Caenorhabditis elegans: one gene and its partners. The protein of the gene in region 3 purifies or fractionates together with the protein of the main gene of each other region. This does not show direct contact. Each region holds a gene or a part of one and is shown on either strand. Other genes may lie near its edges. The genes, in order: impt-1, Y54H5A.2 and ttc-4.

The links.
Region 1: the proteins of ttc-4 (region 3) and impt-1 fractionate together in Caenorhabditis elegans (co-fractionation; one large-scale study listed by BioGRID). This does not show direct contact.
Region 2: the proteins of ttc-4 (region 3) and Y54H5A.2 fractionate together in Caenorhabditis elegans (co-fractionation; one large-scale study listed by BioGRID). This does not show direct contact.

The regions. Positions count from the first base shown.
Region 1 is NC_003279.8:10,965,825-10,977,110, forward strand, and holds impt-1 (Protein IMPACT homolog), read right to left. Parts: upstream 4,354-11,286; 5' UTR 4,343-4,353; coding exon 4,191-4,342; intron 3,097-4,190; coding exon 2,949-3,096; intron 2,903-2,948; coding exon of another isoform or gene 2,897-2,902; coding exon 2,735-2,896; intron 2,517-2,734; coding exon 2,322-2,516; intron 783-2,321; coding exon 666-782; 3' UTR 501-665; downstream 1-500. Other genes in the region: spe-38 (uncharacterized protein), read right to left, coding at 75-158, 209-265, 409-489; Y52B11A.3 (Cytochrome-b5 reductase), read left to right, coding at 4,674-4,814, 6,335-6,427, 7,326-7,503, 8,784-8,995, 10,388-10,760. UniProt on the Caenorhabditis elegans protein: Translational regulator that ensures constant high levels of translation under amino acid starvation.
Region 2 is NC_003281.10:5,144,398-5,154,276, forward strand, and holds the start of Y54H5A.2 (Protein HGH1 homolog), read right to left. Parts: upstream 5,182-9,879; coding exon 5,123-5,181; intron 5,078-5,122; coding exon 4,819-5,077; intron 4,312-4,818; coding exon 4,197-4,311; intron 1,942-4,196; coding exon 1,828-1,941; intron 1,753-1,827; coding exon 1,618-1,752; intron 597-1,617; exon of another isoform or gene 576-596; intron 1-575. Other genes in the region: rbm-42 (RNA-binding protein 42), read right to left, coding at 7,644-8,219, 8,348-8,651, 8,702-8,730; grwd-1 (Glutamate-rich WD repeat-containing protein 1), read left to right, coding at 9,149-9,271, 9,318-9,411, 9,460-9,617, 9,757-9,879.
Region 3 is NC_003280.10:5,590,241-5,599,113, forward strand, and holds ttc-4 (Cns1/TTC4 wheel domain-containing protein), read left to right. Parts: upstream 1-4,473; 5' UTR 4,474-4,495; coding exon 4,496-4,603; intron 4,604-4,656; coding exon 4,657-4,785; intron 4,786-4,832; coding exon 4,833-4,956; intron 4,957-5,010; coding exon 5,011-5,268; intron 5,269-5,323; coding exon 5,324-5,580; intron 5,581-5,633; coding exon 5,634-5,942; intron 5,943-6,023; coding exon 6,024-6,098; 3' UTR 6,099-6,236; downstream 6,237-8,873. Other genes in the region: Tyrosine-protein phosphatase cdc-14, read right to left, coding at 553-744, 1,204-1,245, 1,335-2,597, 2,668-2,775, 2,825-3,019, 3,077-3,133; C17G10.1 (uS12 prolyl 3-hydroxylase), read left to right, coding at 6,331-6,481, 6,532-6,727, 6,787-6,913, 6,961-7,057, 7,110-7,435, 7,484-7,876, 7,927-8,079; spig-18 (DUF4440 domain-containing protein), read right to left, coding at 8,213-8,407, 8,454-8,509.

The DNA of each region.
Region 1 (11,286 bases), on a different chromosome or scaffold from region 3:
TTAAGAAAAAAAATTTCCTAAAATTTAAGTCAAAAATTTCAGATTTTCTCAAATTTTCCGCCAAATATACTCACACAAATCGCCAAAACTGCGGAAATTGAAGTAACCAGTGAAATTCCGTGAAAAATCGCCCAAAATTGGTCAAAAGTGTCGTGGAACTGCAGGAAAATTGGGGATTTTGAGGGGAACTTTCAGGAGAAAAACTTACGAAAATGAGGAAAAGCTCTAAGCCAAATGAGAATAGAGTTAGGGTAAAGTCAAGGATCTGGAAAATATTTGAAATTCAAAAAAAAAAGTGAAAAAAACGTTTTGAAATTTTTGAAAAAAAAAAAAATTTTCCCAAAATTTTCAAAAAATTTTTTAATTCCAAAATTCCAAAAATTATCCCAGAACACTTCCAAAAATTACCATAAAAATGGCAAAAGCCAAAACGACATGAGAACAGCAGAATACAGTGTAGTTTGCATCGTTCGGTGAGCCCAACTCCATCAGAAAACGCATATTTGATTGAAAAACTATTTATTAGTATAAAGTGACCAATGTTTTGAAAAATAAATGAAAATGATTACAATTTGAAAGAGTTGTTGGATTAATAATATTAAAAGCACACGTAGGGAGTTTAAAATTGAAGAAAAAAAAATTATCACGTTAAAAAATATAGAATTTTAAGACTTCTTCGGTCCATAATTATTATCACTTAAAATTTGCCGAGTTAAATTATTAATATGTCGAAAACGATCGGGTCCAAGATGAATTCCACCGTACCAACGTGAAACGACGACCTGAAAGAAGAAATTGGTTGAGGCTCAGAGACTACAAACTACAAAATTGGAAAATTTTCAGTTTTTTAAGCATTAAGATTTTTAATATGCAAAAATCAATCTTTTTTCTTACAAAAACATTTTTTCTAATGAATTTGAACAATCTTGCTATTTTCGACTACAAGTGGTGTCAGGCTGTCTCATTGCGGTTTGATCTACGAAAAATGCGGGGATATTTTTCCAGAAAAATTGTGACGTCAGCACGCTCTTAACCATACGAAATGAGATGAGATGTCTGCGTCTCTTCTCCCGCATTTTTCGAAGATCAAAACGAAATGGGACTTTCTGACTCCACGTGCGACTACAAACTACAAAAATATATTCTGGAAAAAGGCTCAGGACCACTACAAACTATAGTTTCTTGACTACAAACTACAAACCAAAAAAAAACAAATTTTTTTTGAGAAATTTTGGAATTTCGGTGAGGTTCAGATACTACAAACTACAAAAAGCTGAATTTTATCGGTTTTTGAGTATTTTTTGAACTAGAATTTGAATTTTTTTAAAAACCCATAAAAAAATTCGGATTTCACAATTTTTGATTTAAAAAATTTGTAGAAAATTCTATTTTTACAGGAAAAAACCGTTAAAATAACTATGGAAATTTGGGTGAGGCTCAGAGACTACAAACTACAAACCCCGGCTCAGCCTCACCAAAAATGGAATTTCAGGGTGTGTTTGAAACTAAAATTCGAATTTTTTCGAGTTTCAAATTGAAAATAATTACGAAACTCAGAAAAATTAATAAATTTTACTTTTTTGCGAAAAAAAAACTAGTAGAAAATCCTATTTTACCGCTAAAATCCGTTGAAAAGCTACGAAAAATGGGTGAGGCTGAGAGACTACAAACTACAAAATGCTCCGAGCCTCACTCAAAACTTGATTTTAGGGTGTTTTTCAAAATAAAATTCGAATTTTTTGAGTTACACATTGAAAATGTTCACGAAACGCAAAAAATAACGAATTTCACTATATTTTTACAGAAAAAATCTGTTAAAAAACTAAAAAAAAATGGTGAGGCTAAGAGACTACAAACTACAAAAAGCTGAATTTTATCGGTTTTTGAGTGTTTTTTGAACTAAAATTCGAATTTTTTTAAAAAGAAACCCAAAAAAATAACAAGATTTCTCAATATTTTTGGAAAAACCAGTGGAAAAGTTTATTTTTACAGGAAAAAACCGTTAAAATAACTATGGAAATTTGGGTGAGGCTCAGAGACTACAAACTACAAACCCCGGCTCAGCCTCACCAAAAACGGAATTTCAGGGTGTGTTTGAAACTAAAATTCGAATTTTTTCGAGTTTCAAATTGAAAATGTTCAAGAAACGCAAAAAAATTAACGAATTTCACTTTTTTACAAAAAAACTAATAGAAAATTCAAAAATTGGGTGAGACTCAGAGACTACAAACTACAAAACCCCCTGAGCCTCACTCAAAACCCGAAATTCATCGTTTTTGCTCAATTTTCAGCGGATTTTCTCGCGGAAAAAAAGCTATTACCATCACATTATCCGCTTTCATTCGATCCATGAGCTCTAACATTTTCGAACTTGCTCCAAATTCCCCATCATCCACACAATCATGATGATGAATTGGTTTTCCATTGATTTCAGTCATATATCGATATGCTGTAATATTATGTGTTGCCCGGCAGATTTTTGTATTCGATTTAAGGATTCGCATCACTCGATCCACCTGGAAAAAATGGAAATTATGACTACAAACTACAAAAAAAATTGTGAAATTTCAGAATTTTAAAAGTAAAATTTCCATTTTCACAGCTTTTTTTTAAATATCAAATTCAAATTTTTTAATTTATAAGCCTTTATAGGCTAAGGCTAAGACTTCCACGTGGAAAACTTTCTTGGTTGAGGCTATAGAATATTGTAGTTTGTAGTGTGGTTGAGGCTTACATCTTCCTTACTCCGAACCTCGGCCAAATGAGCCTGAAATGCACTTTTCCGGTCTGTAAGCACTTCTCCGTGTCGAATATTCATATCATCGATTTCCTCGGCCATCGGTGTCACCACGTCATCGGCCACATGGCTGGGCTCCGCTACTTCTTCGGGAAGATCCTAAAACTATTTTAAACTTCTTTTTTTTCGCGTGTTTTCGGTAAAAACCTACCCGAATAAAGTCTTGAACAAGGGATATCCAATTGAAAATCACTGGAAATCCGATATTTTCGATATAAACGTCATTTAGACTGTTGTGAAGCACCTCTTTCTGCTCCCGACGGAGATATGGACCACTTAGTTCGAAAATTGGCGGAGATCTGGAAAAAATTGGTGAAATACGAGAAAAAACGTGTTTTTTGCATGTTTTTTTTTGAAGAAAAACGAAGAAAAAGTACGAATTTTAAGTTTGGTTGAGGCTCAGCGACTACAAACTACAAAACGCTCTGAGCCTCACCCAAAACTGAATTTTATCGTTTTTACTCAACTTTCACCGGATTTTTTATAGTTGCGGTTCATTTTGTTTAAAAATTGGTGAAATATGGAGAAAAAACTATGTTTTTACGCTTTTTTCGAACAAAAACGAAGTAAATTGACGATTTTTTATTTTGGTTGAGGCTCACGGACTACAAACTACTAAGCGCTCTCAACCAATGTGATTTTTTGCGATTTTTTAATCTTAATTTCAAGAATTTTGCATGAAAAAATTAGGAAATCTGTTATTCTCAATATTTTAACCGAATAAAATGGTAAAATTCAGTTTTTAGAGCAAAAATTGGTAAATTTCCAGTTGGTTGAGGTTCAGTGACTACAAACTACAAAACGCTCTGAGCCTCACCCAAAACTGAATTTCATCGTTTTTGCTCAATTTTTACCGTTGCTGTTCATTTAATTCAAAATTGGTGAAATATGGAGAGAAAACTAGGTTTTTACGCTTTTTTCTAACAAAAACGAAGTAAATTGACGATTTTTTATTTTGGTTGAGGCTCACCGACTACAAACTACAAAACGCTCTGCCTCACCCAAAACTGAATTTCATCGTTTTTTATCAATTTTCACCGGATTTTTTATTGTTGCCGTTCATTATGTTCAAAAATTGATAAAATATAAAGAGAAAACTATGTTTTTTTCTAACAAAAACGAAGTAAATTGACGATTTTTATTTTGGTTGAGGCTCACGGACTACAAACTACAAAACGCTCTGAGCCTCAATCAATGTGATTTTTGCAATTTTTGGTTTAAAAAATTGATTTTTTTACTTTCTTTGTGTATTTTTTTGAGTTTAATTTCCATTTTTCGGCAATAAATCGATAGCAGATTTTTAAAAAAAATTTTCAATAAAAATTCCAATTTTAGACCAGATTCCGCGTAAACCAACATATTTTTTCAAATTTAAAATATTTTAAACACTTACATCGAAGGATAATCCTCTGGCAGATTAATTGTCATTCCAATATCCCTATCGAATTTAAAAACCAGCTGTTTATCAGTTGTTTCTTCTAATAAATCCGGAAAAATCGATGCCAATGACTCAATTTCTGCTATTCTTTGCTCCTCGTCGCTCATTTTGTCTGAAAAATTCGATTTTTCGTATTTTTTAATTGAAAAATATCGAAACAATAACAGAAAACAGTTAAAAATGAATAAATTTCCATGTGATCGAGTTATGCGCCAGCAATTTTGTTGGCGCACTTCTCGCGCATGCTGGCGCGTTTTCGGATTTAAGCGATTTCCAGATGTTTTTTGATTGACTTTTTGCATTTTTAATAAAAAAAACTAACTTAAAATTATTTTATTGATTCTAAAAATCAATAAATTTTCAATTAAACCCAATTTTTCTCAATTTTCGCCTGCAAACTCATCGAAAAATATTTTAAAACTGGAATTTTCAGATCTCATGAACAATTTATCGGTTAATGGATCAAGTAATGGACTTTTTGCGAAACCAACAATAGGAAGAAGTGAATATGGACGGGTCAAAGTGGCGTTGGCACCCGGAAAAGGGTTTATGGATTGGTTGAGGCTCACGACAAATAAGGTTTGTGGGGAGAAATTTAAATTTTCGATTTTTTAAACGTTTTAAGTGCATGAGAAAGTCTAGAAAAAGCTTAAAACTCACGCAAAAATTCCTGAAAATCTGAAAAACCTCAATTTTTCGCTAGGTGAGGCTCAGAGACTACAAACTACACAAATTTCTGAGCCTCACTGAAAAAAACTTTAATTTTTTCGAAAAAACGGCCGAAAATTGAATAAAAACTGTTTTTTTTCGTGCATTTCTTCAATAAAAACAGATTGAAAGATTAAAATTTCTCAAAAAAACTCAAATTTAACATTAAAATTTGCTTTGAAATAGACTACAAACTACAAAAATTGCTCAGCCTCAACCAAAAATTGAAACATTGCGTTTCAGATCAAATACTGGAATTTTATAGTAAAACCAGATTTAAAAAAATCTATATGTATATGATTTTCAGCACCGATTTTAAGAAATTTCTAGTTTTTTTCACTAAAAATCCGATAAAAATTCTTGGTTGAGGCTCAGAGACTACAAACTACACAAATTTATGAGCCTCACCCAAAAACAACATTTTAATTTAAAAAATGACCGAAAATCGAATAAAAACTGTTGTTTTTTCTTGCATTTTTCAATAAAGTCAATTTAAAAAGTCAAATTTTCACAAAAAATCCCAATTTTCATATTTTTAATTTATTTTTAAACAGGCTACAAACTACAAAAATTGAGTTTTGTGTTTTTTGCTGGAGTTTCACAATGAAATAAGAAAAAAAGTATAAAATATCACCAAATTTACTGAAATTCCAGCAATTTCCACTAAAAACCGCTCAACTTTAATAAAAATTACATTAAAATAGTTGGTTGAGGCTAAGAGACTACAAACTACACAAAATTCGACGCCTCAACTAAAAGTAAAAACGCTTAACTTTTTTTGAAAAAAAAATGGCGGAAAATCAAATAAAAACTGTTGTTTTTTCTTGCATTTTTGCAATAAAGTCAAAATTTCTCAAAAAATCCCAATTTTCACATTAAAATTTATTGTTCAACAGGCTACAAACTACAAAAACTGGCTTAGCCTCAACCAAAAATTAAATATTGCGTTTTAAGCTAGAATTTTACATTGAAACCAGAAAAAATGTTTAAAATAGGACCGATTTCACTAAATTTTCACAAAAAACGGCTCAAATTCGATAAAAATTGCATCGAAATTGTTGATTGAGGCTAAGAGACTACAAACTACACAAAATTCTCCGCCTCAACCAACATTCCAAGGCAAATTAATCAATTTCCAATTGAAAAATTGCACTTTTTTCGCATTTTTTTTGCCGTCGGAGGCTCACACACAGCATCTCACATGTCTGCGTCTCTTTCTCTTCCGATACCACAGCTTCTTCGTCATTTTCCGATGGAAAAACCTTTTTCTTTTCATTATTTTTAAGTCTAATCACTAGAAAATGTGCTCAAAATTCGTGAAATTTTATCGAAAAGTAAGATTTTTGTGTAGTTTGTAGCCTGAATTCTACCAAAAACATGAAAATTTTCAGCATTTGGCGAAACGAGTCAGTGGAGGTGTGGATCACGTGGAATTGATGAAGCATAACACGAAAGACGACTGTTGGGTACACCTTTTTGGAATTGTAAGACGGTTTTTCCAACTTTCGAGGAAAAAACTTACAAAACTGCGAAATTAGTTGAAAAAATCGAAAAAAAAAATCCAAAAATTAATCTCTAACCTGTTTTCACGATCGATCGGATTAAACTTTACACTAAAAATTAAAAAAATGTCCGATCTTTGAGGAAAAAAACTGAAAAATTGAAATTTTTATATTCATAAAACTAAAATTTCACTTTAGAAAAAACTGAAAAATTTTCGATTTTTTTGGGGAAAAAAAACGAAAAAATCGTGATTTTTAAAAGTGAAAATTAAAAAATAAAAAAAAAAAACTTTAAAAAATGACTTGGTTGAGGCTGAGGAACTACAAACTACAAAACCCGGTTCAACCTCACTATAAACTGAATTTAAAGATTGAATCAAATTGAAAATAATCTAGAAAGCCAAAAAATTAACGATTTTCATCCTATTTTTACAACAAAAATCCGTTAAAAAGCTAATAAAATTGGGTGACGGCTCGGAGACTACAAACTACAAAATGCTCTCAACCTCACCAAAATCTGAAATTCATTGCTTTTGATCAATTTTCAACCGATTTTTTGCTGGTGAACGGGCTTTTAAATCGTGATTTTTAACAGTGAAAATTGCAATATTAAAAAAAAAACTAAAACTTTGCGATTATTTGAAAAAATGACTTGGTTGAGGCTCACAGACTACAAACTACAAAGTTGTTTGAGCCTCACCAAACTTTTATGAGTGAGGCTGTAAAAATTGTAGTTTGTAGTCAGTTTTCTTCGGAAAATGTGATTTTTGACAACAAAATAACATTTAAAATTAAAAAAAATCGAAAAAATCCAAAACATTTTCAAAAATAGATTTGAAAAATGTAGTTTGTAGTCCCGCAAAAAAAAAATATTTTTCAGGTGTATGACGTCACCAAGTACCTGGATTTCCATCCGGGCGGTATACCCGAATTGCTACGTGGCGCTGGCCGAGACGCCACGCCCCTTTTCAATCAATACCACGCGTGGGTGAATTATGAGAGTATGCTGAAAGCATGTGTAGTTGGACCATTTATCGGAGATTTGACAAAATGTGAGGGTTTGTAGTTTTTGTAGTCTTTGTAGTTTTTGTAGTCTTTGTAATCTCCGCCAATCTTTGGACTACAAACTACAAAAATGTTTATGTTGGAGTCATTATTTATTTCGACTCTCATTAGAATTTCGAAAATTCAGTAGTTTTAATATAAACAAGTATAGGCAAAGACTACAAACTACACACAATTTAGAACATTTTGTAGTTTGTAGTTTTTGTAGTCTGACTAGTAGTACCAACATATTTTAAAATCAAATTTCTCAGCTTGTAGTTTGTAGTCATTGTATTTAATTAGATGCTCTAATATTAAAAAAATTTTTTGTAGTTTTTGTAGCCTATAGACAAAGACTACAAACTACAAACAACACATACTTAAAAATTTGTTTTGTTTGTAGTTTGTAGTTACTGTATTTTTTTTTTCTGTAACTTTTTTTAAAAAAAGTTTTGCCCAATTTTTGTAATCAAAACGTTGACAATAACTGTAAACTTCCCAAAAATTGTATAGTTTATAATTTGTAGTTTTTGTAGTCTTTGTAGTCTCCAACAAACGTTGGACTACAAACTACAATGTTGGTAACATTATTTATTTCGACTCTCATTAGAATTTAAAAAAATCAGTAGTTTTTGTAGTTTTAGTATGAAAAAGTGTAGACTACAAACTACACATAATTTAGAATATTTTGTAGTTTGTAGTTTTTAAAGTCTGACTAGTAGTACCAACATACTTTAAAATCAAAATTCCCAGCTTGTAGTTTGTAGTCTAAATTTTTGTAGTTTTTGTAGTCTTTAGACAAAGACTACAAACTACACAACTTTGAAAAAAAAACATTTTTGTAGTTTGTAGTCACTGAATTTTTATTCGATTCAATTTGAAATTTTCACCTAATTTTTAGCAGCTTTGAAACTTTGACAATAACTACAAACTACACACAAAAATTGTGCAGTTTGTAGTTTTTGTAGTCTTTGTAGTCTCCGCCAATCTTTGGACTACAAACTACAAAAATGTGGATGCTGGATTTTTGTAGTTTTTCGAATTTCATTAGAATTTTAAATATTCAGTAGTTTGTAGTTTGTAGTCTAAATTTTCAAAATTTTTGTAGTTTGTAGTCACTATATTTGGACCGATTCAATTTGAAATTTTCTATAACTTTTTTCAAGTTTCGCCGAATTTTTAGCATCATCAAAAGTTTAACAATATATACAAACTACACACAAAATTGTATAGTTTGTAGTTTTGTAGTTTTTGTAGTCTGTGAGCCTCACTACCACCAATAATATTTTTCCAGTACCTTCACCACTTCCACCAACAACTTCGGATGACAAGAACAAGCTCGGTGTTCCCAGCTCAGCACTTTTCAGTACAGATCCATCTGAAAATGGATATGGAGCTCGTGTCGAGACCCTTTCTGACAATTCTGGAATTTCATTTGAGCATGATGATTGGACAGAGCTCACCGAGCACAATGTTATTGTTTCATTAGTGCCTGTTTTTGTTAAGGTACATAGAGACTACAAACTACAGAAAATTTTAGAAATTTTTTTTTTTCGGAGGGAAATTCAATTTTCCTGAGAAAAGTTAATTTTGGCCGAGAATTTAAAAAAATGAGAAAAGTTAATTTTGACGGGAAATTCAATTAAAAAAAAAAAAGTTTGCAGGGCAATTTAAATTTTTTAGAAAAAATTTTTGGCGCTAGTTTCAAATTTTCTGGAAAATATTTTGGTGGGAAATAAACATTTTTTGTAAAAAAAATTTTTGGCGGTAAATTCAAATTTTCTGAAAAAAAAATTTTTTTTGACGAGACATTCAAATTATTTGAAAAAAAATTTTTTTGCGGTAATTTCAAAATTTTTAGAAATTTTTTTTCCCGAAAATTCAAATTTTTTGAAAAAAAAAACAGTTTGGCGGGAAATTCAAGTTTTCTGAAAAAATTAATTTTGCTGGAAATTTATATTTAAAAAAAAATTATTTTTGCGGAAATTCAAATTTTCTGCGAAAAATTTTTTGCAGGGAAATTCAAATTTAAAAATTATTTTTGGCGTTAAATTCAAAATTTTATGAAAAAAAAACATTTTTGGCGGGAAATTTAAATTTTCAGCAAAAAATCAATTTTTGGCGGGAAATTAAATTTAAAAAAAAACGTTTTTGGCGGGGGAATTCAATTTTTTTTAGGAAAAAGTTAATTTTCACGGGAAATGCAAATATTTTGAAAAAAAATTCTGCCGGAAAATTCGAATTTTCTGAACAATAATAATTTTTTGGTAGAAAATTCAAATTTTCTCTGAAAATATTTTTGGCGGGCAATTCAAATTTTCTGATAAAAAAATAAATTTTCGGCGGAAAATTCAAAATTTCCGGAAAAAAATGTTATGGCAGGAAATTCAAAAATTTCTGAAAAAAAATTTTGAAGACAATTTCAAATTTTATCAAAAACACCATTTTTGACGCTAAATTCGATTTTTTTGACAAAAAAAAACTGCGAAAAATTTTTTGCAGGGAAATTTAAATTTATTGGAAAAAAAGAAAAAAAGTTTGGCGGGAAATTCAAAATAAAATTTTCAAAACTATTATCAAATTTTTTTTTATCATTTGCTCTCATTTTTACTCAAAAAACCCACTTAATTTCCACTTAAAACCCCAAAAAAAAAGTAGTTTGTAGTGTCCTCCCAGCCTACATACTACACAAAATTTGATTTTTTTTTAAAATACAGTTCAGCTGGAAATTCAAATTTTCTATGCAAAATTGAAGAATTTTAACCAAAAAAAAAAACCATTTTTTGTAGTTTTTTGTCAAAAAAGCTAACTCTCCACTTAAAAGCCGAAAAAAAAACAAATTTTGTAGTTTGTAGTATCCCATCCTCCTCACCCAACAACATCCTAATAATTCCCCAGACATCAATAAATACACGTGGCGAGGAGAATACCGAAGAGCACGCTCGTCTCCGAGTACTAATTCATCATTTCTGGAAACCAGCGATGGAATTTGAATTCGAGCCAACTCCAGCACTTTGCCACGTCGAATATACCCTGAAAATTATGAAAAATCGCGTGGAAATTCGATTTTCCCGTGAAATTTCCGGAGGAAAAATTGATAGATCAAAGTGTAAAATTCAACGACGGCCAGGAGTCACATATCACACGACGGAAATTATTGATCGATATCGATTAAATCATGATACATTGATTTTTAGTCTACAGCTCCCCGAGCACACTACATATCGAATACCTATTGGACATCATGTTTCGATTAAAATTCGGAAAGGAAGTATGGGGAAATTTTCGTGGAAATTTTTTTTGATTTTTGGGTGTAAAAATTTGTAAAAATTTGTAAAAACCCATAGAAATATATATTAAAAAACGGGAAATTTTTGAGATTTTTTGTTGAAAAACGTCTTTCGGAATACAAAATAGTGTAAAAAATGCGATAATCTAGATTTTGACCCAATTTTAGCTCAAAAATTCTGAAAAAAATGAGAAAAAATTTCTGTGAAAAACGGGTTTTTAACTGCATTTTTTTGTTTCAAATCGTGATTTTTTTTTTTGGAAAAATGTCAAAAAAATCGATTTTCAACTTTTTTCTGTTGAAAAATCTGAAAAATACGGTGAAAAATTTTTTAATTCCGGCAAATTGTTGGTTTGCCGATTCGCCGAAATGTTCAGTTCCGGAAATTTGCCGCTTTGCCGGAAATTTTCAATTCCGGCAAATTGCCGGTTTGCCGATTTGATGGAATTTTTCAGTACCGGCAATTTACCGATTTGCCGGAATTTTTCAATTCCGGCAATTTGCCGAC
Region 2 (9,879 bases), on a different chromosome or scaffold from region 3:
AATTGTGGCATCCGGTCACATGACCACGTGATGCAACACAATTAGAGAAACAAGTAGGTGCGAGTTAAAGCCTATTAAATTCTAGATCATTTTACTGCCACCTTTTTGGCAAATACAGAGAAGGTTGCGTCAACGTTTAATGACACGTCAAATGATCTACTATGAGACATCATTGAACGATGTAATAGTTTAAAATGCAGGTGTGAAGGTAAACACAGAACCCGAGCAGTAATAATTATTGCTAAATACTCACAGTACAAGCACAACTAGAACTTGTGATTCAGGTGAGATGACCTTTCCAAAGCAAACCTTGGGGGTGAAATTATCGCCAATTGGACAACTATCTGTAGTTAGTTCACGTAGTATCCTGCTTAGGAATGTTAAGATTCTGGCTCAATGACGAATGGTCAAAATTGGCTCAACTCTGTATTTCCAAACTTTTTCTCTAATGAGCGATTTTCTACATTTCTTCTTGAAAATTGGATTATATTTCATTTTTGGTTTTCAAGTTCCAAAATCCATGTGAATTACGGTTTCATTTTTATCTCGAAGCCACATCTACATACTATAACAGATAGACGGCATCATCAGAAGAAGATAAAAGAATAGTTGAAATGTCGTGTGTCCAAATGAAGAATTCGTTGCGGGGTGTCATCGTCGTGGATGGTTTTACGGCTTTTTGCCACTCCATTCATTGACACTTTATTACCGACTCCTTGTGTCTCTATTCGTGTCGAAATAGCCGTATCCGCCCGACTTATATGGCGACGAAGACGACGGCGTTGTTGTTAGAATTCGTCAGCCTTGCCTCCTGATGTTATGGTGTCTTAACTATCAGAGGATACCCCTCTCATTGTTTTATGACTCTCAAATTGAATAGACTGAATGAAATGGGAAAGAAAAAAAACGAGGCGGCGAAATGAATAAGGATGAGGGAATTCGAATTGTCACACTGAAGAACTTAAGTTAGGGATCTGGAGCATACCTGTGCGGCATTTGGTTTCGGCATTTGAACAAAATGCACTTTTTCATAAATATGAAAATACGGATATGTATGAAATAGCATACGATGAGAAGCCTGACTCTTAGGCTTGTCACCAGTCAAAAAAATTTCAAAAAAAGTTTACCCCTGCTCGAGATATGCACCCAAATGCCGTATGCCGAATACGGCATACGGCATTCGCCATACGGCATTTGGGTGCATATCTCGAGCAGGGGTAAACTTTTTTTGAAATTTTTTTGACTGGTGACAAGCCTAAGAGTCGGGCTTCTCATCGTATGCTATTTCATACATATACGTATTTTCATATTTATGAAAAAGTGCATTTTGTTCAAATGCCGAAACCAAATGCCGCACAGGTATGATCTGGAGGTACAAATGAAAAAACTAAGGTTTAATGCAACTAACATTTGAAATTTCCTAATAAAAAGTTCGAGCTCATTGTCAGATTGAAAAAGAAAACATTCGAAGGAGGTTGATAAACAAACAGAAATCCGCGAATCACCGAAAAAGCTACAGTATCCTTGCTTTTTGCACAAAAGTTTTTGATCTATAGATAACGACACAAAGGTTCAATTTTTCAACAATTTGTTTGGTCTGAAAATCTAGAAACCTACTATCATCAAACGCCAAATTCCTGAGCACGTCGGCTGCACACTCTCGAATTTCAGTCGTTTCGGCGGTTGTCAGCAACTCGCAAACAATTGGTAGCAATTTCATTGTCGTCGACGGAGGCGACGATTCATTCTCACCTGATAAGAAAAAAAGTTTATTACCAGGAGACACACATTTCAATTTTTAATGTATAAGTGGAGGAGTGTGCATACCTCCTTGAACAATATTTTGCCGGATTGGAGGCAATACTGACAGATTGACAACGGTGAATCCGACGAATTTCGCACGATCCTCATCGCCAGTCTCTACAGACTTCTTGATCTCATCTGAAAAAAATGTATCAGTTAAAGCTTTATATAAATGACATTTTTAATTAAATATTTGAAAATGTGTTCGAAACCCAATATTGGACACTTAAAATTTTAGTATTAAAGTTTTCTGAATAGTGAGTATAATAATATTTTAGTTTCTAGTTCCACTTTATTTCCAAGTTCGAAATATTCCTTTTGTAAGACTACTGTACCTACAAAACCCTATATCATATTCCTCTTTTCTCCCAACACCAACTATCATTTCCTCGTATCGTAGAACCTATTAATATATCAAACACCGTATTTATTCCAATATTCAAACACATTTCCCCGAGAAAATGTCGCGAATTTGTCACGCGTACAAACTTCTGATACAGCAGCGAAAAGAGTGTGACGACTTATCGCCTTCACAGAATGATTGGTATTCCAATTCCGTGTTAATCAAAAGACAATTGCCGCCGTCGAAAAACCCAAGAAAGTGTCAACACTGGATTACTGTAGGATGGGCGTGAAGACTAACGGAAAGAGCAAAGTTTGTGTTGGCTCCATGCTGTTCTGTTACATAACTCAAGTAGATTGACCTCGCGCCAGTTACATAATCATTATCAGCTTGAGATTTATGAAGTGAAAGGTGTCAGTGTGGGGGGACTGACTGGGGCTGTTTGTACTTGGAGCCATTAAAATTTAACGACGTACGGTGTGAGGACTGATAACGGAGGTGATATGTGTGTGTTGACCAATGTGTTGTGTTTGACGCTTGATGAAGCGACACTAATTGGCGAGAATACAGAAGCAGGTAACATTTCATGGAATGCTATAGGACAGAAAGTTTGATGATAGCTGCGCCGAATGATTTGGGCAGATTAGAATCTTAGCACGGAATACTGTACACTGAAAACGAAAAATCCCCTTTCATAGTTACGAAATTTTGTTCAAAAGGGCACACTAACACTATGAAAAAGAAGAAATCAAGTTAAAATACTATTTCAAATTTTAAAAAAGTTTAACGAAAACGATTATTCAGTTCAGCGAAATCGCGGTACCATCTTTTGAATTTTAATTTCGTTTTTGCATTTAATTTCTAGTATTTTCAAGTTACAGACTATGATTGAATTTACCGTTTCAGTCAATAATCTTCATACCTACCGTACTCCTTTTTAACTTCATAACACAATAGAATCTAGCATATTTGTGTATTTCATTACGTGCTCGCTGCCTCTGCTAACTGATAACCAACAAATAGGACCAAACACACTAATACGATAAACTAGGCGCTGGTAATCCCCTTAGTTTTGTCGGCATCTTCCTTTCAACCACCCCACTGTAATACTATTATCAACGTGTCTTTTTTCATCAATTTTATAAGGCTGAAATAAGTCGATGCAGAAGGTGTACAATTCGCCACATTTGATCACCTCCGTCAATTATTTGAAAAAGTGAGCTGTCACCGAACATTGAAAGAAAGAGGAAGGACAAGAAGAGGGACGAGCAAGGTTATTTAGGAAAAAGAAGAATCAATCAAAAGATGGATGACATGAAACACAAGCTAATAAGCGTGTGTAGAGGATATTGGGTAATATGTAACTCAAGGACAATACTACCGAAAAAAAACAACATTTAGATTATGTGGTTACTGTAGTTTCGAGAATTGAATGAGGATTTGTTTTTACCACACGAACCGTAGTTTCTCGATTAGATTCTCGTTGAATTTATTTTCCTATGAGATCTATGAAGAGGAATGTGAAAAAGTTTTCAGTTTTTGGGTCCTGGCACGAAAGAAACTATTCGACTATAGTAACCTCGAGCTATTTGTGTGATTTGAAAGTTAAAAATACGGTATATGGTCTCTACACGACAAGTTTTCGCTAAATGAAAAATGATGTGCGGTTTTACGGGGTACTGTAATTAATTTCAAATTATTGTTTTAAAAATCTATGAATATTCCGCGGCAACTACAGTACTCTTTAACTTGTCGTGTTGAGACCAGTCATCGTTTTTTTGGTACAAAAATCACATAATCTCACGTCTGGAAAATTAAAAAACTTTTTAGAATATTTTCAATATTTTTCATTAATTAGTGTAAAATTATCTACCATACTCTCGGCTACGGTAGCTGGAATATTTCACTCGCATCAGGACCAAATGGTGTTCTAAAAGTCACTTTTTCAAGAGTAGGTAATTAAAAATTTTGAGAAAGAATTTTTGAAACTCAAAAAACATTTTTAATTCAATTTTTGAAGTATATTTTGAATTCACCAAAAGAAACTCACTGAGCAGTTGTCCAATATAATTCGCATTTCGTGCTTTCAACTTATGATCAACACGATCTGGGAAATGGCGGGAAACATTGACAAGCAGACGAGAGGCAACTGACGAATACAAGGCCTGAAAGAAAAACACTTAAAGTCGGGGGATTACGAGTACTTGACACAACTACTACTTATGGTATAAGGTTACCACTCGTTCTTTTTATCCAAAATATTAGTCTTTCTCTATATTCTTATTGTATTTATATTAACCAGAAACGAAATTTCACAATTTTTGCGCAGAAAATACGGTACCCGGTCTCGAAGCGACATTTTTTTTCTTAAATTCAAACGGATGCGCACCTTTAAACACTACTTCAAAATCTCGTTTCTGCGGAATTTTCTTCGTTTTTGAATAAAAATTTGTTTTAAAAAAAAAAATATTTAAACACTGATATTAACAAGTTTGTGAATAAATTTTCGCAGCAAACGAAAGTTTGAAATTACAGTTTTTTGAGGCGCACATATTCTGCATTTTGAAAAGTCGTGGCGAGACCGGGTACCGTATTTTTGGCGCAAAAAACGCAAAATTACGCGTCTATGTAATATTATGAAAGCGTTGAATATTACTTTAAAATTCCCTTACATTAGTAACAACTGCAGTATAAGCAATTTCCACACATTTTGATTTATCCAATACAAAATCAGCGGCTTCAATGGAACCAGAAGTGAAGTTTGTGAGAGCTGCCAGAGTTTCAGTTCGATCCGAAGAAGTTGCTTCACATAACTGACAAATCGCTTTTCCCAGAGCAAAATCTTGAGCTTGGAAGTATTTTCCAGCAGATCCATCGAGCGGTGTACCCAGTTGAGTGACAACTTCCATTGTTTTACGACGAACAATTAATCTGGAATTGGAATTTTCAATTAAGAATAATAACCTCAGTTCTTACGACATAGTCGGTGAGAGGAGCTTCACCAAATCATCGACGCTTACTTCCAGGTCAGTCATCTAGAAATAAATAATTATTTTTAAATTCAGGATTTCATTTCAATTCGTTTTTAAATTTATGTTATATTTCTTCCGATTATCACTTTTTAAATACATTTTTCACACAACGCCTGATTTATTTCTAGAACCCCTTGAGTTTTCTATCTCTAGTATGAACTCAATTCTCTAAACTTCAAATTCCCTGCTAGACTGCAACAAATTTTGACGTCAAAATCAACTTGTCACACCCATAGTCTAGTTAACAATCACTTCAATTCTATTTTACAGTATACCTCATTCGCCCACCCGGGTACGCGTCCTTCTCACCGACAAACATCTCGAATCTTGCAGCTTCAGCGCCAATCCTCACAGTCGGCCACTTCAAAAGTGCGCGAATGTGTAAGGTGGCGGGTTACTGTAAGTCTTTTGCGGTTGAGAGTGAGAAATTGGGGACAAAAAGTCAGGTTGAAGTGTGCTTTTCGGACGTTGCGGCTCGTGTACATCTCACACTTGATGTGCACAAAAGAACGGACACTCCAGATTGAAAAAAACTAGAAAAGGGTTCCTGACTACCGTAATCCAATGGGATATGCATGGTGATTGTTGATGCAACACTACTTTGGAAAACAAACGGTCCAGAGTTACGTCATCTACAAGCAATGGACCACCGGATAATGTGGACAAAGTTGCATAATCAGAGTTGAATATCTGGTTGCTAAGACCGATTAATGCTATTTGGATGTTTATCTCCCCAAATTTCAATGTTGATCAAATAAAACTGAAAACTTGATGGAATAAATATCAAGTTTCATTTTATATTAATTATCTAAATTTGATAAGTTTAAACAATAGGGGAGCTTCACAGTGAAAACCCATACATTTCAAACCCCATGCCACACTTCGTCCACACGGCTGTTCCTAATCCAAGACCTCTTCGTGTCATAAAATATTAGATGTTTCCATTTTCCTGACACAATCCATACCATGGGTGTTTTATACCGCATTACACTTGATAATAAACGAGGTATCAGGTGTGAACAAAATGGTGAGGAATTGCTTATAAATTTGACGGAAGAGAATAGGGAAAAGGATTACTTATTAGTAAAAGCTAAAGGGGATTATTATCTAGATCTAGAGATTCTTCGCATCGAATGATTTTCAACATGCTCTTGAAGGATATGACTGTTATTGCACAACAGAAAACAACATGATATCATCAAACATGTGTTCATGTAATAACATCAAAAGAAGCATTTGGTTGCGAAGCGGAACCATTTTCAGTTTGAATGAAAAATATGAGTTAATCGCACAGATTATGATTTTAAATTGCTTTTTAATTGGTCGTGTAGAATTATCGAATAGGATCTGACTTTTTGACAATTGTATCCGAATACGAGTCTAGAATTCCAATTCCAAGTAAATTCAGAGTTCTCGCTCATTTATCGTAAACAACAGACTGACAGCACACTTTCAGTACAAAAAGCCGCTTTTTTTCAAATCTTCTGATCCGGATGCACAGATTGACCTGTTGCCGTCACCAAACAACATCTTCATCTTCAGAAGATGCGTTGAATTGCGCAACCGTCAATCGGAAGGACACCGTGTGACCCTGTCTCGACCCGTCACCTTCGTAATCTCTTGCTCAAACTTTCGACATCGGCACTCTTTGTGAAGTAGTCGGTATCCGTTACGCAATTGATATACTCGTCAACACAGCCACCCACTTGTACTACATTTATACAAACAGGAATTAAATGAAGACACCTACTAACTATACTTATATAGAAAGTTCTAGCCAATGAAGGGGTCGAAAGTATTTTTCATTTTTGTAACAAAATTAGTTGAAAGTATCTAATTGACAAATCCTATACTAGATATAATGTCTACCTATCTTAACTTCCAGCCAAAATCATTTAAATTTCAGGAAGAACATTTTTGAAACACAGACACGAAAATTCTCGTTTTGTGCGCTAAATATACAGTACTCCGTCTCGACAAGAATTTTTTGTTAGTTATTGTTAAAATTTATGCTTTACTGAAGTTTTTGATTAGTAGATATATTTTTATCAAACAACTTCAAAGAATCGTTAGAAATTGAACTACAACGAAATTTTTTAATTACAGTACTCTTTAAAGGCGCACAGCATTTCGAATTTAACAAAAATGTATCGTGTCGAGACCGGATACGGTATTGTTCCCTCAAAATTTGAAGTTTTCAAAAGATTTCAGCCTTTCTTAAATATGAATTGAAAAGAAAAAACTCAAAAATGTAATGTTCTAAAATGACAGTAGAGGTATATTTTGCACTGGACATGCAACAGTGCTCCTGATACTCAAATAACGATAAATATCTCAATTCAGACTTTTATATATTGAAAAGAAAAATGAATAAAAATACGATGACAGGAAAATAAGGGGTACAATGAAAGTATTGGGGTATAAATGAATAAATTACAGAAAAAAATGTAGAAAAACGAATCGATTTACAAAATTCCAAGTTCTTTCTTTTGCTTTCTCTTTTGCTTGATAACATCAATATTACGCTCCTTCCATGCCGATTTTCTCAATTTAATCGGTCGATTTCCAACATATTTTCCGTCCATTTCACGCATAGCTCTCACATAATCCTCCGAATCTCTGAATGAAACGAATCCATATCCTTTACTCTTATTTGTTCGTGATTCTCTGACAACTTTGGCTTTTTGGAAACTTGGGTATTTTCGAAAAGCCTTTGCAAGAAGTTCATCCGACACTTCATTTCCCAGATCTCCACAGAAAACTCGAAAATCATTTTCATCCCATTCGGCAAGAGATGGATCTTCCCAAACCTGACCACCACCGGATCTCACAAACTTCTTTTTCGCTTGTTGTTCCTTGATTTTCTTCTTAAATGGATCGGTTTGCTTTTTGAAATTCATCTTATCAATATCTGATTGAAGAGCTTGAGTTCGCAGAAGTTCTTGTGGAATTGCGTTTACTGCAGGTGTTTCATATAATGCTGGAGCACCTTCAATAGTTGCAGGAGCCGGAATTCCGAGTACTCGAGGAGGGAACATTATCTGTAAATTTAATATTCAATTGAGAGTAATATTCACATAACTTCAATTTTTAACTTTTCTCTCAAAAATTTATGGCTTTATTCATAAAATAAGGATATTTTTTAAGTCAACGGAAAATCAAAACTAACCGGTGCAGCTCTTAATTGTGGAGGCATGAAAATTGAAGGTGGAACTGGAGGCATTGTTGGAAGCCTCCCAAGTGCCGGGTTGATAAATGGAGAAACTGCAATTGTGGCAGCTATCGGAATAAACGGAGGCGCTGCCAAAAGTGATGGTTGAATAACTTGAGCACTAGAAGTAGCTGCTGATGACTCGGAAGTAGTTGGTCCTGCCGAAATTGTTGCATTATCGTAGCCAACATGCGTTTGAGAGCTTGCTGGCTCCTCCGAATTGCTACTCGCTTGTTCAAGTTCGGCTAACTCGCTTTCAAATCTAAAATAATATAATTTGTTTGATAATAAATATAGGAAGAATCAACTTACAAAGCCAGTTCATCATCCAAGTTGGCCATTGTTGAAGGGTGAGCGTTTCAGGCTGAAAATAAGTCTAAATATAGTCAGAAAGTACAGAAACTTTGCGACAGATAAATCAAAAAATATTAATATTTAATATTATTATCTTTAACACATAAATGAATACAAATAAAAGGAAAATAGCTTTTGTTTCGAAAAACATTAAAAAATTGATAAAAATATTAAGAGTACGCAAACACCGCATGAAATAAGCCAGAGACGACGCACTTTTGCGTACTCTAAAATTTTTTCTGTTTTCCTATTTATTTTTTTTATCCTCCCAATTTTCACGCTTTACTAGTAGTTTTGTGCTCATAATTGTTTTAAAATTTAAGAAAACACCCTCTGAAGTTCCAAATATTACCTCATCCGCTTTTTCTAACATTTCTTAAGAGATATATTCTGTATCTGCAGAAAATGTCCGGTGAAAATGACGTTGAAATGCATGATGAGGATCCAGTGGAGGATATAGACGAGTCTGAAGAGGAAGTTGATGAAACTGATGATGAAGACGAGGAAGTACCGGAGAATCAGAGACAAGTGAGCTAGAAATTTCGTACAATACTTCTAATTGTTAAAATTGCAGGCTTACATTCCAGGCCTCAGCCGGCCATTGAAAAAAGGAGAAGAATTGGATTTTGACCCTAGTGCTTACAAACTATTTCATAGTTTCAATTCTGGTGATTCAAACGAAATTGTTTCTAAAATATTTATATTTTATGATTTAGATTGGCCATGCTTGTCGTTTGACGTTGTTAAAGATGGTTTGGGCGAGAACAGAACACAATTCCCTGCCGAATGTTATATTGTCAGTGGAACTCAAGCCGATAAGCCAAGGGATAACGAAATCATTGTGATGGGATTGAAGAATCTTACAACGATGAGGGTTAGTCGGTTTCAAACTTTTTTATTATTTACCTGTTATGAAATTGAAATTCCGGCCAACGTTTAGTTTTAAGCTCAGTAACACAATTGTTAAACTAAAAAAAACAAGGATATCTCTACAATAAAAGTGAGTATTTCAGAAAGAAAAAGAAAACAAAGGCGACGACAGTGACACCTCTGAAGACGAATCCGAAGATGAAGATGCCGAAGAAGAGAAGAAAAGAGAACCAAAAATGCACGCTGTTTCGATTCCTCACTATGGT
Region 3 (8,873 bases):
GAAAGTTTCAAAGTTCACCCGAAATAAAAAACTGTCTGTACCGTAGGCTCGGATAAGATGATAGAAAAGGCAACAAAATGATTGAATGAATTGAGAGTAGCAATGTGAGAGGAGTAGGGATACGGTAGTGTGTACATTCATCATTTCCGCTCACAACTTCTTGTCATATACATTGACGGTAATGTTGAAGTGGAAACCGATCCACGTGCCAATGGTTTCTTGTCTCCGTATAATCCACGAGACGATGTCGAATATCCTTGAGTTGTTGAATAGTTATGTGGAGAAAGTGGAGCTCGAGACGACGTTGTCGGTGGTGGACGATGAGCCATTATACTATGCGGTGAATCAGGAGGCACTCGAACAAGACCAAACTGCAACGAGATACAACACTGCCACGTCACGATATTTAAAATAAATAACGGGGATGTGATTATGGTCCTTTTAAGAAGGAGCATGCAAGTGGGAAGAATTAACCAAATAAATTATCATGCAGAATTTTGAGAAGATTTAATTTCAATGTATCTATCTAATTTAGTTTCCCCAATTACTCACCTGTGGTTGAAGGCTGAATGGAGTAGATGTGGTACTTCCAATTGGATTTTCAGATCGGAGTCTCGCCTTATAGCGGGGGCTGGTTCCATCGGTATATGAAGGGGACATTGGTTTTATTGGTGTAGTCGGTGACAAGTATCGTGTGGTCTCACTTCTTCGAGATGCCATTGACGGGAATACAGCAGATGCTGGCTGAAAAAAAAGAAAAATAAATTAATGAAAATATTGAATATTACAAAGGCGCAGAAAATTGAAATTTTTGCTCAGAAAATACGGTACCCGGTTTCGGCACAAAGGCGTGCGCACAACGGCGTAAAGAGTACTGTAATTTTAAATGTTCGTTATTGCGGAAAAATCGACGAAATTCCGCAGCAGCGTGAGATTGAAATTACAGTACTCTATTAAAGGCGCATGCTCTTTTGCATTTAAAAAAATTGTCGTGTCGAGACCGGGCACGATATTTTTGCCGCAAAAACCACAGAATTTTGCATCTGAGTAATATCTCAATTGATTATGGTAATCTAAAACAATGGTATGATGAGGGATTAGGAATAAAGCAACTCTAAAATATTTCACACCACGTTTAAACTGAAAGCAAATTGTTTGGGAAAAAAGAAAATGGTTTGAGCACACAATGAGTGAGAGTTATACCTCGTAGAACAACGAGTTGTGGAATCTGTAGCTCTCGTTTCCCTGAAACTGTTTTGTTTATGGCTAAACTAAAACTTTCTGGCGTTGAATGAGAGCTCATTTTTAATATACCAAGTTTGTTTATAACTTACAGTTCTAGTAAGAGTTGACGTGGTATTTCCTGATGAATTTCTAGTTCGATAAGCAACATTTCCATTTGGTGTTGTTTTTAACTGACGGCTACTCGTTCCAGATGATGTTCCATTTTTTGACGGTGTGACAATAATTGGTTCACGATTTCGATTCAAATATGCTTGGCTCGGAACAGTCATTTGTGGTGTTGAACTTTTGACAAATCTCCGACTCGAGGAACTGTTGGGACTTGTTGTCTCTGATTCGTGTTGATGCTTGGCTTTCAATTGTAGAAGTCGGTCGCCTTGTGATCTTCCTTGATCGTCTAGAGCAGTCTCATCGACGACACGAGATGGTTTAGTGGATCTTCTAGATTCGGATGTTCCAGCAGGGGCTATTGTTACTGGAGCAGTTGACCTTCCATTTTGAACTTGCACACGCCTTCGAAGGATATTTGGACGAGTGTTTTCTCGACTTTTCGGAGATATCCTTTCTTCTCCTAAATTTATATCATCCACTTGATTAACAAGACGTCGTACATTTCTTTTTTCTTCTTTGTTTTGAGTAAGATGAACACCATTTGATTGGGACAGTGACCAACAGAACTTTTGTTTCTCAATGAGATAAGGTTGTTGTGGTCCGATAACTGAGCCAGGTCGACATACACGTAGCCAACCCATACACTCTCCAGCAGTCAATCCATACTCTTTCATCATCCAACAAGCGATCAAAGTCCCAGTTCTCCCGAGACCTGCTTTGCAGTGAACAGCGACTCCTCCTTTTGTATTATCAACAACTTTTATAAATTTCAGCATGATTTCATCAGAAGGTGTACTTCCATCTATGAAGAATAAGTCAACATGATCAAATCCGGCTTTTGTGAACTTCGAAGCATCATAGTTTTTTGCATTCAACCGAACAATTGTTGAAACTTTGTTCTCACGGAAGTAGTCGAAATAAACATCTGGAGCATGATACGGATACCCGTTCTCCTCGCGGCTTTCATTATGAGGCCCGCAGAAACTTAGAATTTTTCCTGGGATAATCCAATTGAAATCTCCATTCTCAACGCGCTCATAAAACTCATATTCCTCATAGTCAAAGTCTGAGAAGTCGAGCCATCCAAATTTCAATGCTTTTTCGATTCCTCGCAAAACATCATGCAAATGGAGAAGATATTGAGGTGATCCCATAGAGGCATCACGGAATCCAACAAATTTTACAGTTTCTCCGGAAGACACTTTCAAATATGCATCGTCGGCAGAGAATCCTTGATAGATTATCTGAAATACATTTTCATTATTTTAGAGATCAAGAATTTTTAGAAAATATACATTTCTGTCATTAACTTACCAGATATGCTCCGAGTACATAGGCAGTATTTACTCGTATTTTGTCATATTGCCCTGTCCCATCATCCTGACAAAAAAGCACCACTCGTCGGCTTCGCTTTTCTTCGACCTAAACGAGTGTGTTATCTAATCTATCATCAATCTTGGAATGAGCTCACCTCTAGCAGTTTGCCTACTTGGACACATAATCGATAGAGAACTGAAAGATTCCATGGACCAAAATCCTCGTAAAAAGGTTCGTAATGAAACTTGTTGTTGATATTGATGAAGCAAGTTTTCTTTACTGATTTATCTGATTTGTCGATAGCATCAGGATTGGGAAAGCAACCGAAATAAAGTCGATTGGGTAGCAACTGAAATTAAAATATATTATTTTCAGATTTTCAAACATTTTAAAATGAACAACTCACTTCTGTCAAAGTATTTTCAATTGTATTGTTACGACGTGGGGAGTGGTCTTCTCTCATTTTTTTTATTACTATTATATGGTTCTGCCTCTACTAGCACATTCCGTAGCGCCTGCAATAAAAAAACGATTGTGTTCGTGCTGTGTGGCTAGATAAATACAAACGAAAGTTGGCTCAGCTGCTCGGAAAGCAAGAGAATAGAGGTAAATAAGAAATAGAGGAATTCGGGTACTGTACGAAAATAAAAGGAGAGTTCTAAGAATTTATCGATTAGGTGATAAGATGTCGAGTAATGATGTGAAAAATGTGACATGCAATTGGGTTGGGCTGCTGGGAGAAGAAATAAACACGAGTCGCAGAGAGTGTCCCTTCCCGATCTCTCCCACACAGAATGATGATGCACTTGGCCCTGAGAAAGAATAGGAAACAGTAGGGAAATGAAGGTGACGCAGAGACTTTGGCGGGGTTTGGCAGCGTGCCAATTGTTCAGTCACATTGACTGTCTTGTGTTTGAATTTGTTTGCAGTAGGGCAGTATTGCATTGGTTATTATACAAAGAAAATGAACAAGTTACTAACAAAGAAAAGAAGAATTGAATTTTATTAAAAAGGAGAAGAAATCGATTTTGTTGAATTCAATGAAGATATAAGAAATTGGATTAATTTGAGAACTATATATATATTTTGGGCAGTTTCAAAAATGCAACTAAGAGTTATAATTATATTTTATACTTATAAAATATGATTCAAAATTTGGGATTTGATAAGATTTTAAAACATACAGATTTAAAATTTTTTTCTTCTGAAATTCATTACGTTTCTAGCATCTACTATTTAAATTATAAATTTATTCATATTTAAAACTAGATTTTGAGAAATTTTGTTGCCGCTGATGGCAGAGAAGGCTTCTTTTATTGGAGATTTCCATTAAATTATAAAAATATTGAAATAATATTTTATGCAAAATGTCTTACAATAGGAGAAAAAGAAAAGATTGTTGAAAAATAAAAATGAATAAAAAAACACAAAAATAAATTTTGAATGTAATTTTTCTCAGCGGAGCGCACTTGCGCGTGTGTCGAGACCACTCACTTTAGAAGAATGCAAAACCTGAGAACAATGTTTCTTTAAAAAAACAATTGTTTACTATGATTAGGGTAATTGATCAATTAATAAACTTTTTTTGAAGCCAAAAAGCTAAACTTGAAAGATTTTACAACTAAAAAAATATACTCTTTTGCGTTGTTTTTTGTTCATACACCCGCTTTCCACAAGATCGCATTCCTAAAACTGGTGTCGTCTCATTCTTTTTTATTTCCTAAAATTTCTGAAAATAAAGTTTTAACTGCATTCTTTTCGGTTACTCTTTGTTTTATATTTATTTTAAACGTTAATTTTCAGAATGAATCATCAATATTCACCAATGGATCTTCCCCAGAAGAAGAAATTCACTGAGTCAGAGCGAGCAGCCCTTGCGAAGAAACTTGATGACGACCTAGATCAGTTCATGGAAGAAATGGCTGCGAGAAAAGTAATTTCATATTTAAATCTCTGCAATCGTGACATTAAATCTTACATTTTCAGTCTGATAAGAAAGAAGAACGAAAACCGTTTGATTTCGATGACTGGTGCAAAGAGATTGATCAACATCCTGCATTCATGACAGAAATGCCCACGGATGGAAAATATCAGGACACTATTGAAGCTTTACAGGCAAGTAAATGGATAATAATATCGAATTAATACGTACAAATATTCAGTCTATGAAATACGATAAAGAAGACGACGAGGATAAGCAAATGAATGCAGAACATCACAAAGAGGAAGGAAACAAACATTTCAAATTTAAGAAGTATAGATGGGCGACTGATTGCTATTCTAATGGTATCTCTGAATAAGAAATCCAGAAAATTTTATACTAAAGTTAGAAATTTACAGGCATCAAAGAAAATTCACCTGATAGGAAATTGAACGCTGTGCTCTATTTCAACCGAGCCGCAGCTCAAAAACATCTCGGTAATCTTCGATCTGCAATTAAAGACTGCTCGATGGGACGGAAGTTTGATCCAACTCATCTGAAAGGTGTAATTCGAGGAGCCGAATGTCTTCTGGAATTGGAATATGCAAAAGACGCGCTGAATTGGATTGAAAGCAGCAAAAAGATTTTCGCATTCACGAAAGAAACTTCTGACACTCGTATGTTCAATTTTGATTTAAAAAAAAGTTAAATTTTCACAATTTTATTTTACAGCGGATCTTACTGATGATGAGAAAAAATTCATAGATCAATTGGAAACACTTCGAGTAAAATCAGTTGAACTGTCATTGAAAGAAGAAAGAGATAAAAGAAAATCAAGAGCCGAAGAAAGAAAAGAGACAGAATCGAAGAAACAACTATTAGATGCACTCAAGGAACGGAATTTGAATTTATGTCCCCGCGTTCCGTTTGATCGTCCCGAACTCATGGATATGGCGAGACTTACCGTATCCCTTCCGTTGATGCATTCAGTAAGTTTAATTTATTCTGAAACTTTGAGTTTCTCTAATTTTCTACATTTCAGCATGAATGTGTCAAATTCGATGATGATCTAAATCTTGTATGGCCGATCCTTCTACAATATCCCGAAGCTGGTCAAACTGATGTTCTTACCGAGACAAATGAATTAACAACCGTCGGAGAATTGTTAAAAGAAGTGTTAAATTCACCAGCTCAGTGGGATCCGGAGCACAAATTCAATTTTGAGAATGTTCGGTTCTTCGTATCGGATGAATATGATGAATATTTGATGGAAGTGTACGAATGGAATGATTTCAAATCGGTGCTTAGCATGCCAGGATATCAAATAAAACAGGGGCTTCCTGTAATTATGGTGAGTTTTTCCACAAAACGCTGAATTATGGGTTTATCATTTCCAAAATTGTTAAAATAAAATAATTCGACAATTTTTCAGATTATGACCAAAGAAAAAGCCGCAAGTTCCCTAGAAGCATTGGCTGAGGATGAGAATCGATACGTTGCTAAATAAAATTGTTGTCATTTGATTACAAATTCTGTTATTTTACTTCATCCCGTTGTTTTGTTGTGTTATTTACTTCCTGACTTGTTGTGTCTTTTTTTTTTGTGCAAAAAAAATTATTAATAATTACAAAATTCCTTTACCCATTTTTAAAAACTTATGGTTAATAACCGATGGTTTTTATCTGGAAGAATTTGTCATTTCACAATTAAATTAGGTATTAATTTCAGATAATTCAGCTATGAAACGTAAATCGAAAGCTGGAGGAGCCAGTGACAAATCGAAATCACCAAAGCTAAAGAAAAGAAGAAGTGTTGTCCTGGAACCTATTCATATCAGTCCGAAATATCTTGAAGACAAGTTCAAAACGGAATTTAAGAAAGGATTTGAGAGTAAGTCAATTAATAAAAAGTTTAAAAGCGATATATTGCAATTTTTATAGAATCAAATGGCCCATTTCCTCATTGGCAACTCCGAAACTTTGTGGATAACAGCGACAACGTGGTAGAAAAGATCGAAGACGAGCTACAAAACTTTGAAGGTTGGAAAAGAAAAGAGAATGATCTGTACTCTTTGTATCAATCTGATGATCTGAAATCAATTAATCCAGTTGAAAATCCAGCTGTATTTTCTTTTCGGTAAGAAATATATTTTCTTGATTCTTCTATTTGCTTTATTAATAATAAGTTAATTCCAGACAATTCTTATACAAGGAAGTCAAAGAATGGCTCCAAAACGTATCAGGAGTGGAGCTGACTGAGCAAGTTGACTGTAATGGAAGCTGTTACGCAAGAACAGACTCACTATTACCACATAATGATCTCGTATGTTTTTATTTAATAATTTTTTGATTGCATTTTTTAAATTGTAGATTGAAACTCGTCGATTCGCATTTGTCTATTACATCACATCAGCTGACTGGGATTCGGAAGTGAATGGTGGAGATTTGCAGCTTTTTAATCACGACAGTACGTTAAACGTTTAATTATAAAATTCACATTCACATGATTTTTATTTCAGAAAAACTACAACCAACTTCTGTGGCTGCTCAATTCTCACCATTACGTAATTCCTTTATGCTATTCGAAGTGTCTGAAAAATCTTGGCACCGAGTTGCCGAAATGCTTTCCGAAGAACCTCGTTTATCGATCAACGGATGGTTCCACTCAACTCGACGGATCGAACCAAAAAAGCCAGCAGTAGAAGCTATTCAACGATTTGTACCAGAGGCGGCGTGTAAATTGTCGAAACTCATCAGCAAAGAATATTTACAAAAAGAAAGGCAAGATGAAGTGCAACAAACATTTGCTGACAGTTCTGAACTTAATTTGAGTAAATTTATATTCGTAAGTTATTTATTTTCATATCGTGAATATATTTTGTTTTAATTCTAGGAAGAAATTCATGATAATGCATATTCTGAATTAATTTCCAACCCATCTTGCTTTGAAACTGTTGGCCCGGTTAGCAAACGCCACGTTGCACGTCTTGATGAAGAAAAATCTGCGGATCTGCAGAATACTAAAAGAATAATTCAATGTCTGAAGTCCAAAAATTTTGCAAAACTGGCAGCCAAACTGACTGGAGTTACAGTAACCGGAGCTCAAACAAGTGTTAAAGTTAGTCGTGTGGAGCATGGAACATATTGGGTTCTGGGAGATGAAGATGCTGAACAAAGTTCAACTGATGGATACTGTCTGGATGTTCACCTATTCGTACAGAAAACCAATTGGGATGATGAAGCTGGTGGTGACCTGATTTACATCGAAGAAGGTGATACGGAAGAGGTAATTTGAAAGTTTCGTTTTTTTAATTTGAAAAATAAAATAAATTCCAGCTCCTACGAATTTCCCCATCACCAAACGCCGCATCAATAGTGTTCCGTGAGCCTGGTGTGATATCGTTTATGAAATACGCCAATTGCAAATCATCTGATCCGTTCTTCCTTTTCACAGTATCATTCTACAATGTTCAAGTTGTCGAAGACTAAAAACTACTATTCTATTCATTTTTTGTTCTGTTATTTTATGCGTTAATCTTGTTCTATTTTTCGGTTTTGTTAATTTTGATTGTCATCATTATTGTTTATTTTGTTGAAACATCATGAAAGATTTCGTGAGATTTCAATGTTCTTCTTCATCGGCTGGCTGACCATCGTGCACAGTTAGAGAGTCGATCACAAGTCTCTTCTCAGTCTCCAATTGGATTTCAGTAAGAACTGCATTGAATGGGGTTCGACGTGTCACAGAATCACTCAAGGTGACTGATTCAGTGAATTGGACTAGTTTGCCATCTTTTACATCAACAAATCGAGAGAGCTGGAAAATTTGGACATTGAAAAAATATTGGAAAGTTGGAAATTACCGAATAAGTACACGCCTGTTCTGGAGTCAATTTTCCCATGAATTTACGATACCACTCTTCAATTTCAAGTTGTTTAATACAGATGCGAAATTTTGCCAATTTTAGTTACTTTCAATATGGTATGTTCCTTTAAGGGTTACTGTAAATTCCAACCTGCATAATTTCAATTGATTTTTCACAATTTTCGATGAAACGTTATTATTTTTGAAATACTGATTTTAAAAAACAAGAAAACAATATAAAAATCACACCAAGTTTTGAGAAAGCGAGAGAAAATCTATGAAAAATTATTGGAAAATTCTGTTGGAAATTACAGTACTCTTTTAAAGGTGCATACCTTTTTGCAATTCACAAAAAAAATTTCGTGACGAGACCTTATACCGTACTATTGATGCAAAAATCTCTGCAATTCGATAACCC